Linked DNA regions of Drosophila melanogaster. The protein of the gene in region 1 interacts with the protein of each later gene in a pairwise test. Each region holds a gene or a part of one and is shown on either strand. Other genes may lie near its edges.

Region 1 (7,039 bases):
CCATCCAGTTTGCTCGACTCTGGCGAATTGGTTTTGTTTTCATTGCTGCGGTTTTTCTTTTGACAGCGGTTTATGGTTGCGAATTTCTTGTCTCCGCCAATTCAAAATGATTTTTAGGGGTTTTCTGTCCGACGAGAGAGCAACTCCTATGCCAACATAAATGGGGACAGCTTCTGCCGGGAGCCCGAAGGTTATTTCCTATAATAGAAAAAGTTTTCCGACGGGCACCGAGTAAAATTGAACTAAAAGTTTTCCAAAAAAAAAAGAGTCGTGCATTGCCAATCATTCGAAATATAATTTTACAGCTCTTTTACAGTGCAGTCTTAGTGGCGAAAGTGGGAAATTACTATACTTAATTAAATGAGTCATATTTTACAGGCAGCTTAATATGAAAAACAGAAACGTAGGATCCATATCATAGTAGTATTAAAAACCCATATTGAAAGGCTTCTAAGAATTTGTAGAATTTCTAGAATTGTTTGAACTAATCATTAGAAGATATATAATTATTTTAACAAAAAGTTTAAACATTCATACCTAATAGCTGTTGAATCGTTTGTCACTCAACTCTTCTTCTATGCATACAACGAAAAATACATTGCTTTTACAATAAATTTCCCCCCTTTTCTCACAGATTTTGGGAAACAGATCTTCGCACCGTACGCAAAACGAATCGCTCAACAATGCGGCATCCTCGCAGCCGCAGCTCGATGGCCGGAGGTCCTGGAGGACATGGAGGGATGGGTACCGTCAGGGGCATGGACAAGTTCAGCGGGTGAGTTCGCGGGGCACACATTCACTTTCCATGAAGATGGGGAGAAAAGAACTCTTTGGGGACCCGCCGACCCTGAAACAATTCTCATATTTCGCATATCCTTTACAATTCCGTTTTTGTTGAATAATTGAGCCCGGCCGTGTGTGCAAAATCATACTCATTCCCAGACTCATACTCATACTCATACCCATACTCATTCCCAGACTCATACTCATTCTCCTGGGGGCAAGTCAATTTACTCCCAACATTTGTCTGCGCCAAATGCTTGAACGCATTTTCTCAAAAGGTAAATAATGAAGGTATTTATGTCGTCAGAGTGCGAATGTTGCGCCCACGCCGCCTAGAGTCCATAAATAAATATAAGTGCAACACATTCTGTGAAATATTTATCGCATAATTGAAATCATTGCCGAGTATTTATGGCGGTCTTAGGCAAACGCAAATGCAAACAAAAAAATATAAAAAAAAAATAAAGAAAAAAATGGCTATAAAATATGGAAGAAAAAATGCAACTGAAAGTTGGAAGCCATCCAAGTGGCTGAATATTTTGCAAAAATCTGCTTCAAATGCCCAACACAATTTGTATGCTTTTTCAACTTTTAAATGCAACGTATACTACTGAATTAATTAAAAGCAACCGAATCGATATGTATATATATATATATATACACAGGCAGCTCTAATTTGGATTGACCTTAGGGCGGATTGAAAACGCGCATTCTCTGTAAATGACTCTAAAATAAACAAGTTAATGCCTGAAAATGCAATGCGAGAATGTTGCACATTCTGTTGGACATTATAACAATGCAAATGCATGCAACAAATTAACACACGGCTGTAAGCTTTTTAATTTAGCACAAAAAGGGCCAGCACCATTTGTTTACACGAAACTAACAAAAAGCCATAAATGTTTTCCTGCACGCCGGGCGTATCCATTTTTCCGCTCCGACGCGTCATTCAAAGTTCGTGGCATTGTTGCACAAAAATTAACACTTGTTTGCCACGCCACGCCCATTTTCTATTTTGCCCTCCCCCACAGTGGCGCCCTCTATCACGGCCTGGACGAGCGTGATGCCCAGATGGACAATGCGCTGGAAAGGGCTCTGGCCCAGGCGGAGAACGATGCCACATTCAGGAAGGTCAAGCGGATGAGCTACTCCAGCAATGCGGCTGGCGAGGTGAGGAATATTCTGCACAGGTGTCAGTACTTCGCTGATTACCAAATTAGGTTGGAGCTAGTCTATAAGTACTTCATAAATACCCTTTTTCATAGTTACTTTATACATATCCCTTATCAGTTAACATATTATTTATTTATCAAAAACATTTGAATTTAAACTTTCTTTAAAAAAATAATTTATTATTTGTGGGCCCAGTTTAAAATTGATTTGTTTACTTAAAACTAAAGCTGTTTAGGAGTACAGGGTAGCATTGCCTTGTCATTGTTGTTATCATTCTTGAGCGATTGAGCGTCCAGTGCTTAGCCCGAGTTTTGGCTCCTCCTATTGTTCCTGCCTCGGTTGCTCCTCCTCTTCTTGATCTTCCTGGGGCGGCTCACCTTACGCCTGAAGGTCCTCCTCACGCGCTTCTTGCCACTGCCTCCGGATGAGGCGGTGGTCGTGTCGGTGGCCGAAGCGGCTGCGGTGGTGGTTTCTCCATCGGCACTGGCCGCTGTGGTTACCTCTGCGGCAGCTGTGGTTACCTCCGGAGCAGCCGTGGTTGTGGTACAATCGGCTTCAGCTGCATTCGCGGTATCTGTGCAATCGATGCAAGCCGTATCGGTGGGATCATCGGCACACGAGACGGCTAGACCAACTGGCAGATGGGCCAGAAAGATGGTCACCAGGAGGGAGCCAACGATCAGTAGTGATTTCCTCATGTTGCTGATGCTTGCGGCAGATGGCGAATGATAATCTTTCCCTATGAAATCCAATGCTTTTATAGCAACTACACCACCGATTGATTTCAATTCGCACAAGTGTGCACAGGTGTGCTTTCGGCTTTCAGCCAGTTTTCGCACTCTATCAGTGTTTGATTAGTCATTGTGCCTAAGATTGGGCCTAACATTCGGTTCAATCAAAATATTTGACAAGTTTTTATTCATCAATGGGTGGATGGGCATATGCCGTTGTGTTATAATATTTACACAGTTGCTACAACACTCTGTTTGCCAGTCATCCATCGATTTTTGAAATAAAATGTCAAGCACATCTGTTTATCTGTGTGTTTATCTGCTGCCAAAACAATGGGTCACCCCCTTAAAGAACTTATTTAAATAAACTAGTTTTGAATCGATTCAAGTTTGGCCAAGTTTCGGGCGACAGGAATATCTCTTCAAATTGCATTTCTCATTGCCCCAAGGAACGGAAGGCCAACCAGCATTTAAGCTTAATTGCCGGCAATTATTTGGCGGATGGGCAGAGAGCAGACGTTGGCCAACTGACCTCAATCATTAGTTGATAAGCCCTGCGAGGCGGACAAGAAAATGCACGGTGACCGGGAGAAAAAGTGCCGGCCAAACGATGCGACAATAAACCAAGTTGGGAAGATCATAAATCATGGGAGCCCAGAATGGGAAAGCAAAAGAAGGGGTCACTTGGGGCAGTTGCAACAAAAAAAAAAAAAAAAAAACGGAGCAGCAGAGCAACAACTGAGTAGTTGAAAATCATGTAAGATTTATGGTTAAGCCAGATGAACCTGTTGCAAGACGAAAATAAACTCCTTACGGTTTTCATGCACTAGATGAAACTAGATCCACTGGACAAAATCTGTCATATTGTAGCATAAAAACCGAAGCTTGGTGCATGCAGCTCAGCGCTTAAGACCTTGTCATTGGGTTTTGGTTCAGTGTGGTGCTTTTTTCAGCACGAAAATCATGCTTAACGAAGATCTGCATATCCCATCACCTTGATGTATTCGCTAATGACATTTTATCTGACTTTCACTCGCCCGGATCCATAATCATGGAACTTGGGTAGGAGAAACTTTCTTAATTTCCTGTTTAAGAGGCAGACGAGCGCCTCAATTAAAACTCGCTGGCAAGCAGCATTCAAAAGCCATCCAAGCGTCGATTGCCACAAATCAACTTCTACATTAATTCGTTTCTAGGCGGCGAAAAAAAGTGGGTGGTGGATGGTGGATGGTGGATGGTGGGTGGTCTTGGGCCAAGAAACTCGAGTGGCTGGCAAACTGACATGCTCCAAATATTCCGAGTGGCATGCAAAACAAACTTGCAAAGCCTACAACCATCGCCACCACCACCACCACCACCACCACGCCCTCTGGCGGCAGCTTGTAATCAGTTTAAAGTGAGTCCTGGCCACTAAAACTCAATTAACCCCATTTGAATGGAGCACGAGGCAATTGAAAAAACACAGAAAACATGAAATGAAAACGAAAACGAAGCGAAGAGCGAGCAAATCAAGGCAAAAGATTAAAAACGGAAATGGTCGGCCATTGAGATAGGGTGGATGGTTGGATGGTTGGATGAATGGGTGGGTTGATGGCTGGGTGAATGGGTGGGTGGATGGATGGGTGGATGGATGGGTGGGTGGCTCAGATGGTTGCCAAAGGTTGGCAGCATTTTTCACTTAAAACCGCATTGATACTCAATTACCAGGTCGATTCCCCCGCCAGTTGGACAAAACAAACGGCGGACGCGGAGCTCAGGAAAACGGAAGCACTTTGCAACGGAAATGAAACATCAATTAAAGTCGCACACCGAGCGACCGAGCGAGAATCCTTCGAAGGCGAAATGTGGCAGGCTGCAAAACTGTTTGCCTCCCGTCAACCAGTCAGCCAGTTTGCCAGTTTGCCTACACTTCGTCCTTTCGTCCTTCGTTGCAACGAGGCACTTGGAAGCCGCTGCAGAGCGAACACTTGTTCGGTTGCCACAGGGCCTAAGGGCACATTTCGTTAGTTTTTATTGCTTAATTGTAATTTCGCATATGGGAAAACGGAAAGTTTAATTGGCTCCGCTGAAGTATCAGTCCTGAAGTCTCACAGGCGATTTATTAGAAAGAGTTGGCAGTTGGGAAACAAGGCCAGAATGGCAATCTAATTGGGTAGAGCGGAAATAAGCAGCTATTTTTCTTTCAAAGTGTTGCGATATTAGATCATTTGAAATCAGAAAGTGGTACCTTTTACTTTAATGAATTCTCCTTGATTTTTTCAGCTAACCGAGCGACTGGCAAAGATAGCCGGCCTAAACCGCCTAAAGACAGATGGTGATCCAGGACAAACGGGATCGGGCAGTCTGTCTGGCAGTCGAATGAACTCCATTCCGAACTCCCAGTTGAATGTGGATCTGAAGGCGCTGGACAAGCTGGTAAGCACTCTTCTGGAGCAGCACACTTCGGGTGCCAAGGGAGCCACCTCCTTTAAGCCCGAAACGGGCACACGCACTCCGCCGCTGCAGCGAATGGCCTCCAAGAAGCTGAACCGTTGGCGTCCACTCTCCCGATCTGCCCACAGCTACAAGCGTCACGAGAGCAGTGATCTCATCGGTGGTAGCTTCACCCAGCTGATGGAGCGCGTTGATCCGCCGGCGACTTCCGCCCAGCATCCACCCAACATGCCAACGATCATGGAGAGCAGTGCCGGCAGTCCAACTCCGAACAATGCCCAGCAACAGGCGGGTCATCCGCCCATGTGGAATGCATCCTTGGACGCGACGCCAGGTGCGGTGAGAAATGTGCTGCACGGAGCAGCTAGTGGAGCCAGAAATGAGGCCGAGGATCAGCTCAATTTGACGCAAAACTATGTGGACTGAGCATTCTCTTATATTATAAAAAATATTTTACAAAGTGTTGTTTCCAAAAATTATTTTATATTTATTTGAAGATGATATTGATATAAATAAAAATATTTGTGCTTTAAATTATATGATAAAGTTGGGGATAAAATGCTGGATTTCCATGAATTATATATTATATACTTTGCGTGTAAAAAGCCCAAATATTTCATTTAAATATTACCAACATATTTTTTCACGCTATTCAAACATTTAGTGACGCACGTACTTTCTGAAAAGTATCATTTGAGTAAACAAGTAATATCAACATATTGTATGCAAATATGTGTGCTTTTTTTATATTATTCGTATCACTTTAAAGTCTTCTTAAGAGTATCTTGAGCTCACCTGTCTTTCCATAACGCCCGACAACTGCTCACGGTCGGCATGGCGATAGTATCCTGTAAGATTGGCGCCCAGTCGCATGGTTACCTCGTATCGGGTTTTTCCACTGCGTGCCGCATTCCGATTGCCTTTGGATGCGGAATAACTCTGGCCAGGAGGTGAGATGGAGCGGCCGAAATTGTCAAAGTCGCAGGCCTGGTGGCATTCGATGGAGCTGGAGTTGCTGGTGCAGCCTGAAAGGATGGATAACATTTGGTAATTGCTTCCATAAAAGGTCGAAGCTAAGACATGGATGTGTATGTGTACCTATGTGGACCGACACCTGTGGCAACATTAACCCCTGCCCCGTCCAGTGAGTGGATGGAGATGCTCTTGCAATTGCCACAAGAAGAATCCTTTAAATCTCCTTGGGGCATGGAGCTGAATAAAGGACATAACATCATGCAGCAAAAATATGAGAGGCATGTGCCAGGTATTCGTTTGGATAATCTCTCGGTTCTTAACCATCCCATCAAGCTGCTCTTATTCATTTTTGTCATAGCCAAAAAAAAAAAGGTATGGAGTCTCTAAATCGATTCAATTGGAATTTTTCAGTAGACATCCGCTTTTGGTGAACATTTCTCGGTGCACATTTTTTTTTTTAAACTAGTTGCTTTAACATTTTTCGTCAGCTCTTTGAAGTGTTTATTCCATGAAAATTTATTTAAGACCCAGCCGATAAAATATTAAATGCTTACCAAAAATTTCACTCTACTGTAAAAGGCTTTGTCCACATTTTTTGGGAAATGCCAAAGGACCGAAGCAAAAAAAAAATGAAAAGGAGCAACTCGCAATCCTCTTGCAGGATTCAGGACCTGTTCTCCTACCATTTCTCATTACCATTGCACCATTGCAGGCACTTTGCGATTCAATGAACTGCACAACTTAAAGCTTAAACATTGTTGCCGCTGACTGGGGACATGTTCGCAGTTGTTCATGTCCTGGGTTTTCCACCGCGGAAAACGGCAGCCGTATGGAAATTGGCACCGAGCCCGGGCAGTGACAACCTGAGGTTTTCCACCGTGTTCCCTTTTAATGCTCTCCATTGCAGTTGTTATGCATTTTTATTGTTTTCCCACGCACTTGCC
Region 2 (8,831 bases), on another chromosome or scaffold:
ACACAAGTGCATGTACTGATACATATTTCTGACAAAAGCACAACCTCTCGGCCAGGTTCAAGGTTGTTTAGCCATTAGAGCAGCATTTTGTTGTGGCTTTCTATATATTTTTAGATATTCTATCATGCAACAGCTGACGGCGACAAAGTGTAGCTTTCGCACAGGGAGAACTGCAACTACAAATGTAGCAGAGCGACGACACAGGTGCTTAAGAGCAGCAAAAAAGATCGCCGGATATAGCCAGCTATATATATATAGTCGTATATATACATAGACGAAATTTATGTGTGTTTATGGCCAGCATACCCGCACAAAGTCTTGTGATCTCTCTCCCCATTCCATGCCATTGGCCAACCCAAAGTTTTTATAATTAATCTTAGTCTGCACGCGTTTGGTTTATGCTCGAAAAAAAAAAAATAGTATAAAAAACATGGTAAAGAAAACAAAAGTCCCCCACTTCTGCGTGGAGGTAAACAATATTGGCGTCATCGGGTGGACGCCAAAGAAATAGAAAACCAAATAAAAAACTACATGCGCGCGGCAGCACTTTAAATTCAAATAAACAAAGTTCAGATAGAAATGGTGCTCTATCTAATCGGGTAATGTTTATGCCAGCTATGTGGCTGCCACATCTTGTGTCCCAAAATGATTACAACATGTAAACAGCCAGCAAACTGGCAAAGCGGCCAGCATCAAAGGCAGTGAAGTGAACCATGGCCCAGCCCAAGTGAACTCAACTGTTCCGAGCGCTTCTTTCTGGGTTATTGCGCACAAACTCCAATCCAAGTAACCCCCCTTTTCCATAAGATCCCCTCCATGGAGCACAACTTGCAAATACTACGCAGTCAAATGACGAACGCCAACGCATCGACAGAAGCTAAATGCGACATCAAGTGAGGCAACTTTTCATTCGCTTTATGTTTTCATTTGGATGGACAAACATTTGTGAATATGGAAATGGAGACGATCAGCTAGCTGACATGCATGTGAATGCATTTTTCAGCTGCACTGAGTGGAATTTTACGATGCACTGTAATGGATACCATATGCGGTGGAATTAGATATTTTTATGATACCATGATACTTGTATACTATATCAAAATGTTACAATTTGTTTGGTCTATTTTGTAAAAAACTGAGCCTACTTCTTTATTATCAAGCCAAATAATAAGTTCATTTCAGTAATATCTACAAAGCCCAGTTAAGCTGCTCAATAAATGACGCAAACGATACTTTGATGTCACAGCGACACCAACACACACATTTAGAAAGAGAGTCAGCTGCGAGGCTCCACTGTACCAATGAATCAAGGTTCGTTGTGTGGCGGAGCTTATCAAACGATCGATGATAAATGTGGGATTGCAGGTTCTGTGCCCGCACATATATAATTTCAAGTTCGCGCACCTCGCTGCACTTTGGCTGTACATATTAATGGCATTTAGTTGAGCTTTTTATTATATTTGTGCATATATACATATATATATATATATATATATATATATATAATTGGATGTTTTATAACGCGTAATTTCAATTAGTACGTGAGACGCAGCTGTGCGCATTCCGTGCGACTCTTCTTAGGCAAATCCACTGGACACGGCGCATATTTTTTATCACTTTGTTTATCAATAGCAGTCCGCAGGTCCAGCTGTCGTATTTGGAATTCTGGGTCAGCGCCGTTTCTGACCACCGAATATATATATATTCACTAAACAATCAATCAATCTAATATTCCGCAAGTCAATCAATATTGGCGGATTACATCAGGCGCTCAACTGGTGACTCGGAAATGAGTCTAGTCAATATGATTACTGTAAGTATAGTATGGCTTAAAGTCGCAGTCTAGCACGTGCGCAATTATAAAAATAAAGTGCTACACGGGCATAAATTTGTTATGCAAATTGTATTTATAAAACGGTTTAGAAAAATATCTCTAGTGGTTACAAAATCATTTATATGAGTGCGTAAAAGTTTGCAGCAAAAATCAATGCGAACTACTTTGATGCTGAAAATATATTGTAGCATACTTTCAAACATCTTTCTAATTAGTATTTTTCCGCTTGCCAAGTACGATCTCTTTTTAAAGAAACTTTATGCAGATTGGTGACCTTATTTCCTGCCCTTTGACAGTTTCCTTTCCTTCATAATCAAATGAATTTTTAACGCCATTTCCATAGCGTCAGGCGTAAATATAGCACTCAAATTGCCACAGTTGTGTTTGAACGACGCCAATTAAAAGGCAGATTTATGGGCAAATATAAATCGACCGCCCCCCGCCCCTTGCAGACACCACCCACTGGGCTTGAAATAGTTTTCCCACCGCAGTTTGTTACTGTAACTGGTACGGTTACTGGCTTTTCCCCTACATTCACTGCAGGACTTTTCCCTAGTTCTCTCTCTCTCTCTCTTTGCTCTCAGTCCTATTTTGTTTACAAACAAATTTGTTTGACCTGCGCAGTCGGAGGGCATTTTCCCCGATGACGATTACCTAGCAACCTTCACGATGGGACCCATTGAATGTTTTGGTTCTCTCTCTCTGGTATATATATATATATAGAGGGAATACCCACCATCCTAAATATATATGTATATACAAAGTAACGACTTCCGCATTTGGGAAAATGTAGGCCCAGAGAAACTTTTTTGCAGCCTCCCGTTCCGCAGCCGTTTTGGGGGTCACCTTTGCTATTTTTGGGCTTGCACAGGGTGCCTCCTAGTTGTTGGGTGTAGGGTCCGCACCACATGCTTACCTCCCTTTGGAAGCGGTTTAGCTGCAAATCGATGAAAGGCCCATAGCTGCAAATCAGCGCCAGTGGAAAATGAACACGTCAGCAACCCCAAAGTGGAAAACGGGGAAGGGATTTGGGTGAAACTGCGCAGTGTGCAGTGTTACTGGGCCTACCACCTGGAACCACCCCGTTTACCACCCCGAATCTTCTACCCTACAGTACCCACATGCAGCTGCGTTTATTTTCAAGAATTATGACATAATTTTTGACATTTAGATGCGCAGTCAAAAGAGTCAGGGGGGAGAAAAAAAACTTACATAACTCGAAAATACTAAACAACTTGAACTTGACTCTGTGTCTTTGTTTCGCATCGGTTTTTTTTTGTTTGTGTCCTGAGTAAACTGGTTTTGCCCGCACCTACAGCAGTTTCACTTTCTTCATGGCCATAAATCAGGACCTGCGAGGAACCCGAAAAACAGTAACCCAAAACCGAGACAAGAACATCAAGTGTTGGTTATTTGGCCTTTTGTTTGGATATCTTTCGGATGCACATGCCTAAGTACAGGTACGGCAAGTCGGCTGACTAAATTTCTAATTATAGTCGGGCATTATCGGCTCTGCGGGGAGGGCAGTCCCATCCCATTTTGGGATTAGCCACCAGCCAGTTGCCTTCCCCTGCTACCTGTTAGTTGGTTTTTGGATCTGCACCCGATGGGCTGAGTTGCGGATACCCCTGGGACTGTCCAAAATTGCCACGTCAGTATCTATGCTCTAATTAAACCAGATAATGCCGTCTAACGATAACCTAATTGCCTTCATTCCCTACTCAGTTCAGTGCTCAGAGGAATTGACACTGCTGCAGATAAATAAATAATCACCGAATTGGGTCGCTAAGTAGCTAAGTATGGTTTACTTAAAATGAATAACTTTCAAAAAAACAAATGATCGACTTATGAATTATAGAACTCAAATACTTCTGTTATCTAACACATTTTCTCCCTGTGCATCGGTTGGACTTTCTGTGACTACGGTTACCCTTTTGGCCAATTAAGGCGACCAGATTTGTTGGCCACGATCGAAGCGGGGCAGCCAACTGACTTTATCTGCCAGATACACATTTGGCTGAGTTCGCGTTGCTGCAGCATCATCAGCTGTTCGCTGTTTATGTTGTTGTCTGTGGCTTTTGTTTTTCAATTTTTCTTTCATTGCCACAGACAAACAACTGGCCAGACTTGATTTATCATCCGCGACGGTTCTTCCCATTCGTTTTTGGACCCCTACTCCCCACCCCTCCGTTTCGATCCAGCACCTTCCGTTCTTTAGAGGTTTTTTTTTTAGCTCTTCAGCTCGAAAAATGGACAATGGACAATGGCAACTGCAAGACCTGTTCTGCACATTTGGCGCATGATTCACTTGGGTTTTTGGGCCTGCTTTTGTGGCTGTGGAGCGGCAAGGTTTCTCCTCGAAATGCTCCCTATTTTCGTTTGCCTCTCGGATCTCAACATCTGAGCAAATGTTGGCAGGCATCCAGGAGATTTTTTTTGGCCATAATATTATAGTTGAGGAAATAATTGCAAGGCTAATTAAGATGTTAATCAGCGAAACATTCATTGCACTTGCCATCACCAGTTGACACTCCATGAACACACAATGATTGCACAAAAAAAAATATATAACTCGATCGTGGGGCAAAGTGCAGCAGCTAATATGTAAGTCTGAACACAGAGAGAAATTTTTCTAAAAAGAGTATGAGAAATTCTGAACGCTTTATGTTAGCATTTAATTCTATACACTCATTATTCCAATAAGCTCTACATTAGATGGTTTTAGGCAAATTTTTAGCAGTGCACTCAGCTGGGAAATGCCAGAGATCTGAGATGTGGCACGGATCTGATAACGATCGCTAAAAATGCTGAAAACGTGATGCAAGTCAAATTTATGGCTATTAGATGCCCAGAATGGAAATCCCCTTAACAAGAAACTCGGCCGATTTGCAGCCAAATACAATTTGGGGGAAAATCGGTGTTTGTGTGTGTGTAAGTGCATGTGGAGATGGAAAACTGTTGGCCTGGCCGAAAGCCAAGGAAAACTCACACAGCCGCAAAAGTGTGAACTCTTTGGATGCGAAGGTGCAATCAGAATTTTTTCCTGCTTTTTCGTATGTATCGCTGGGCTGCACTTTGGGATGTGTGTACATGTAAATCGGCTTGCAGCAGAACTTTTGAGAAACATATCTGAGCATGTGTTGGTGCGTGTGTGAGTGTAATGTCCTTTCCTTGGAGAAGGACTTCCGCTTCAGTATTTTTCTGCTTTTTTTCTTTGGGGGGGTTAAAACTGCACTTACTTGCTGCGCGGAGTTTATTGATCGATCGGTGTCGGAATCTACCCGTATTCTCTGCAATAATTTGCACCAGCAAGGCTTTTTACACAGTTTTCGAAATGTTTTTTAATTGGCGTGCTTATTGTTTTTTGTGCTGATTACTTCCGTTTTTGCTTAACTGACGGGGGTGAGAGTGCGGAGAAGAGCAGCGCTACAGGAACTCCGTGACGTATGCTAGCAACAACGACTGACGAGCGAATGATGGCAGAAGGTCTACAAACTGGCCAACCAAGCTGGTTGCCCCCCTATCTGTGTGCCTCTGCTGTTCGCTGGTGTTGGTGCGCTACCCATGTATTGGTGGCTCTACAGCTGAGCCCGACACACTTACCCTGTTTCTGCCTCTTTCTGCTGCTGCGCATGTGCAAGAGAGGCTCTTCGGATGCTCTATCCAAATCGAAAGTAACTCAGCTATGTCACTGAAGTAAACACATTGTATTGTACATTAACAATACCTTATACTTTGGCTAAATAGCTAGGACATTTTTACAGTCTATCTCTTTGTGAAAACCTTTTTATCAAGGTCTTTAAAAAGTAAGTGCATTTAAGCCGAATTCTTTTAAACTGTTAAACAAACTATTATATGCATTGTCTTAGCTATTAGAGAAAACTATTGCATTTTGTACAATCATATATTTTTTATAAAATTCTATTTAGTGTATTAAAAATCTAGTCGGTGTAGAGCATTTCACAACGACTATATTTCCTATTTTAGTTACTTTTCGTATTTGGCAAGCCTCTCATTTTCTCTTCAGCAGCTGATTTTGTTTGTATACAAAAATCATATTGCAATATATATATACTGAAAAGGAGAGAGAACAAAAGGTAAATAAATACAGAGTGGAAAAGGGGAAGAAAGAGATGAATGGAAACGAAAATGGAAGTGGAAAAAAGCCACAAAAGCTTAATTTGTGGTTTTTAAAAAAGTTATAACTTATATGCATTAAAGGCAAAGTCATAAAAACTAGAATTTAATATGTTTTAATATATTTTGTGGTTTTTAAAAATTTATGTACCTGATAATTGATACAACAGCGCTACAGCATATTAGGGAAAATAAGGACATAAGGTGTAATTAAATAATATGACACATATTTCTATACAGATAAGTGTCTTTTACATAGAAAGTATATAAAACTATTTAAAAAACGAGAGTAAAAAAAAAACAATTTTTAATCTTGGCGGCTAAATAACTAAAAATAAGCCCTGGTCGATTAATTTATTTGCGCTATCGATAAGAGCCCGCTGAAAAAAATCGAAGAAAAATCGGGCAGTTTTCCAGCTCTAGCAAAAACACACGTGTTTACGTTTTTAGCAAATTGAACGCAATTTCTTTACTTCTTTGACTTTTTCTGGTATTACTTAATATCCGACTACCGAAATGGGCAGAAACAATCGCTCGAGAAAGCGTCGTGATGAAATGAATAAGATAAAGAAGGCGCGGTACGAAGCCAAGGAGTTAATTCGACTGAAGAAAACTCTGGGACTCCTAGATGCCGATGGAAATGAGATCATGAAGGATATAAGCGATGTGGTCGAAATTAAGACCGCCAAGGAGCTCAAAAGGGTTAGTTATGTGATATACCCACCTACAAATATACCAATTTACCTAATGTATTATATGTATTGTATGCATGTAATATGCGAAAAACCGGCTTAGTTTATCGCGATACTACCTTCATTCTTGTTACGTATTTTATATCCTTATTAAAGAAGAAATTGTATTCCTAAAACAGGAGGCCAAATCCAAGGAGGAGCAGGAATTGATCTACGAGCACCAGGAGAGTCTGGAGAAGGGCGAGAAAGTCAAGGTGACCAACGAGAACACGGGCGTGGAGCACATTTTCAACAGCAAGACCCTCAAAGATCAGTACGGCAATTATCCTGCGTGGTTCAAGAAGAAGAAGACCGCCAAGCGTCTAAGAAAGAAGCAGCACTCGCAGAAGAAGAACTTCAAACAGGCCTGGACCACGGTTAATGTTCCCCTATAAATCCGGGGCTGGGTTACCCATCTGGTATCTTATCGTAGTTTATAAGTCCTCGCTTAGTTTAGGAGATTTTGTAGGCTTTTTCTACAAAGATGTTATAGCTAAGAGTATATATTGCATATTAAAGCCCAAACAAGTTCTGAAAAACCCAGATATAGTCTGAACTTCTCAACATGGCAATCAAATAGTATCATTACTTTTTTAAAGCTACGAGTTATTATTGCATATTAAAGCCTTAAAATCTACACACATTTGCGGTGTCATGTGAACAACAAGTATCCAACGCTTAAACTAAAGTGCAGTTACATTATGCTCATTAGCTCTATTGCACGTGGAAAATCACAAAATGGGGATATTGAACTAAAATCGTGGTCAAATTTCTACTGAACGGAACAATAGCTGCGCACGCTGCAAATCACTCCGTTGGTGGCTGCCTCCAAACGTCGTGTGTTCGCCGACCATATGTGCGTGGTGGCCAGAGCCGTGGATGCGGATCGGGCACTTCCTCCTGCGGGTCATTCTGGCTTCTCTTTTAGCTCCAGTCTCTCAGTTGACTCGCTATCCGGTTCCACCTGCTCCTCCTCGATGTTGCCATGCATTACATTGGGATTGGCCTTTAGCACAGAGCCACCGGTGAAGCCGAGGATGCCACATCCTACTGCCGCCAATCCTCCAGCTTTCATGCCCGCCACCAGACCAATGGGTCCTCCCACACAGGTGCCCAGAAGAGCTCCGACTACGGGGTACATGGCCTTCTTGTAGGTGAGCGCCCGGCGCAGATTCAATTCGCCCTGCTGGACATTCTCCAGAGCTTCCTCCGCATTGTCTGCTATCTTTTCCACCGCCACTGATTGCTCTGCAGTCAGTTGACGCATTCCCTGGAACATCCCGTGCAGATCGTAGATCTCCTGTTGCAGGTTCTCCATCTGATCCAGGCAGGCTTGCCTCTGCGCCAATTGGTGTTCCTCCAGCTGGAAATTGAGTTGCAGCTGGGGCATGTGGCGGTGTGCGGGTAGACTGTTCATATCCACCTCCTGTGGCTGATTGTCCAGATCGTCGTCGTACTGAGAACTCAAAGTGGAGGTGGGTGATTTGAGTTGGAGCTCTAAAAATACAGTAGGTGTGTTGGTAAAGCCGAAAGAATTTAGATGGCATTTCAAACTTACCCGCAAATTCCTTCATGCCAGCGAAGGCAGTATCCCTGCCAGGTTTCATTAGGTCGTCGAAACGTTCCAGATCCTCCTCCCGTACTTTTTCTCGCAGTGCATCCATTTCCAGAAGTAGATTCTTGATCTGCTTAATGACCCTCATAGCATTGAGTTCCTCCTTTTTGATTTTTTGCCAGTCGCCGAGCGCCAGGCTTTTTTCTATATTGCTGCGATGGTTTTTCAGTAGGCTCAGATGGTGGGGCACCTATGAGTGTTAAGGAATTAGTTCCGCTCTTCAGAAGATATAGTAAATAACCTACCGCCACATCCTGAAACCTTTGGATGGAGACCTCCGCCTGTTTAAGTGGCAGTTTCTCATCGCGCGTCATCGTGAACTGAATACTTTGAACTCGCAGCGCTTTGATTTTTAATCAGTTTTAATTGTGGTAAAAGTGAAATCTGGGGGATCAGTTTCTGTAACACCCCCCGCCCCTTTTTAACGATGGACCTTGCTTAACAGATTTCCCTGGTTTTTCTGCGCAGTTTTTGCTTTGTTTTGCCAGTGACGTCACTGCTTGCTTTTCGGGAT

Evidence for each region.
Region 2: the proteins of CG13135 (region 1) and TP53INP interact in a two-hybrid assay, tested with the Drosophila melanogaster proteins (one large-scale study listed by BioGRID).

What each region holds. Positions count from the first base shown.
Region 1 is NT_033779.5:10,120,086-10,127,124, forward strand, and holds CG13135 (uncharacterized protein), read right to left. Parts: upstream 2,687-7,039; 5' UTR 2,655-2,686; coding exon 2,256-2,654; 3' UTR 2,044-2,255; downstream 1-2,043. Other genes in the region: CG44153 (uncharacterized protein), read right to left, coding at 5,916-6,145; CG34109 (uncharacterized protein), read left to right, coding at 635-775, 1,815-1,953, 4,950-5,546.
Region 2 is NT_037436.4:4,403,627-4,412,457, reverse strand, and holds the start of TP53INP (tumor protein p53 inducible nuclear protein), read right to left. Parts: upstream 5,314-8,831; 5' UTR 5,074-5,313; intron 1-5,073. Other genes in the region: CG15019 (uncharacterized protein), read left to right, coding at 6,488-6,673, 6,843-7,097; Syx17 (syntaxin 17), read right to left, coding at 7,610-8,199, 8,261-8,507, 8,563-8,631.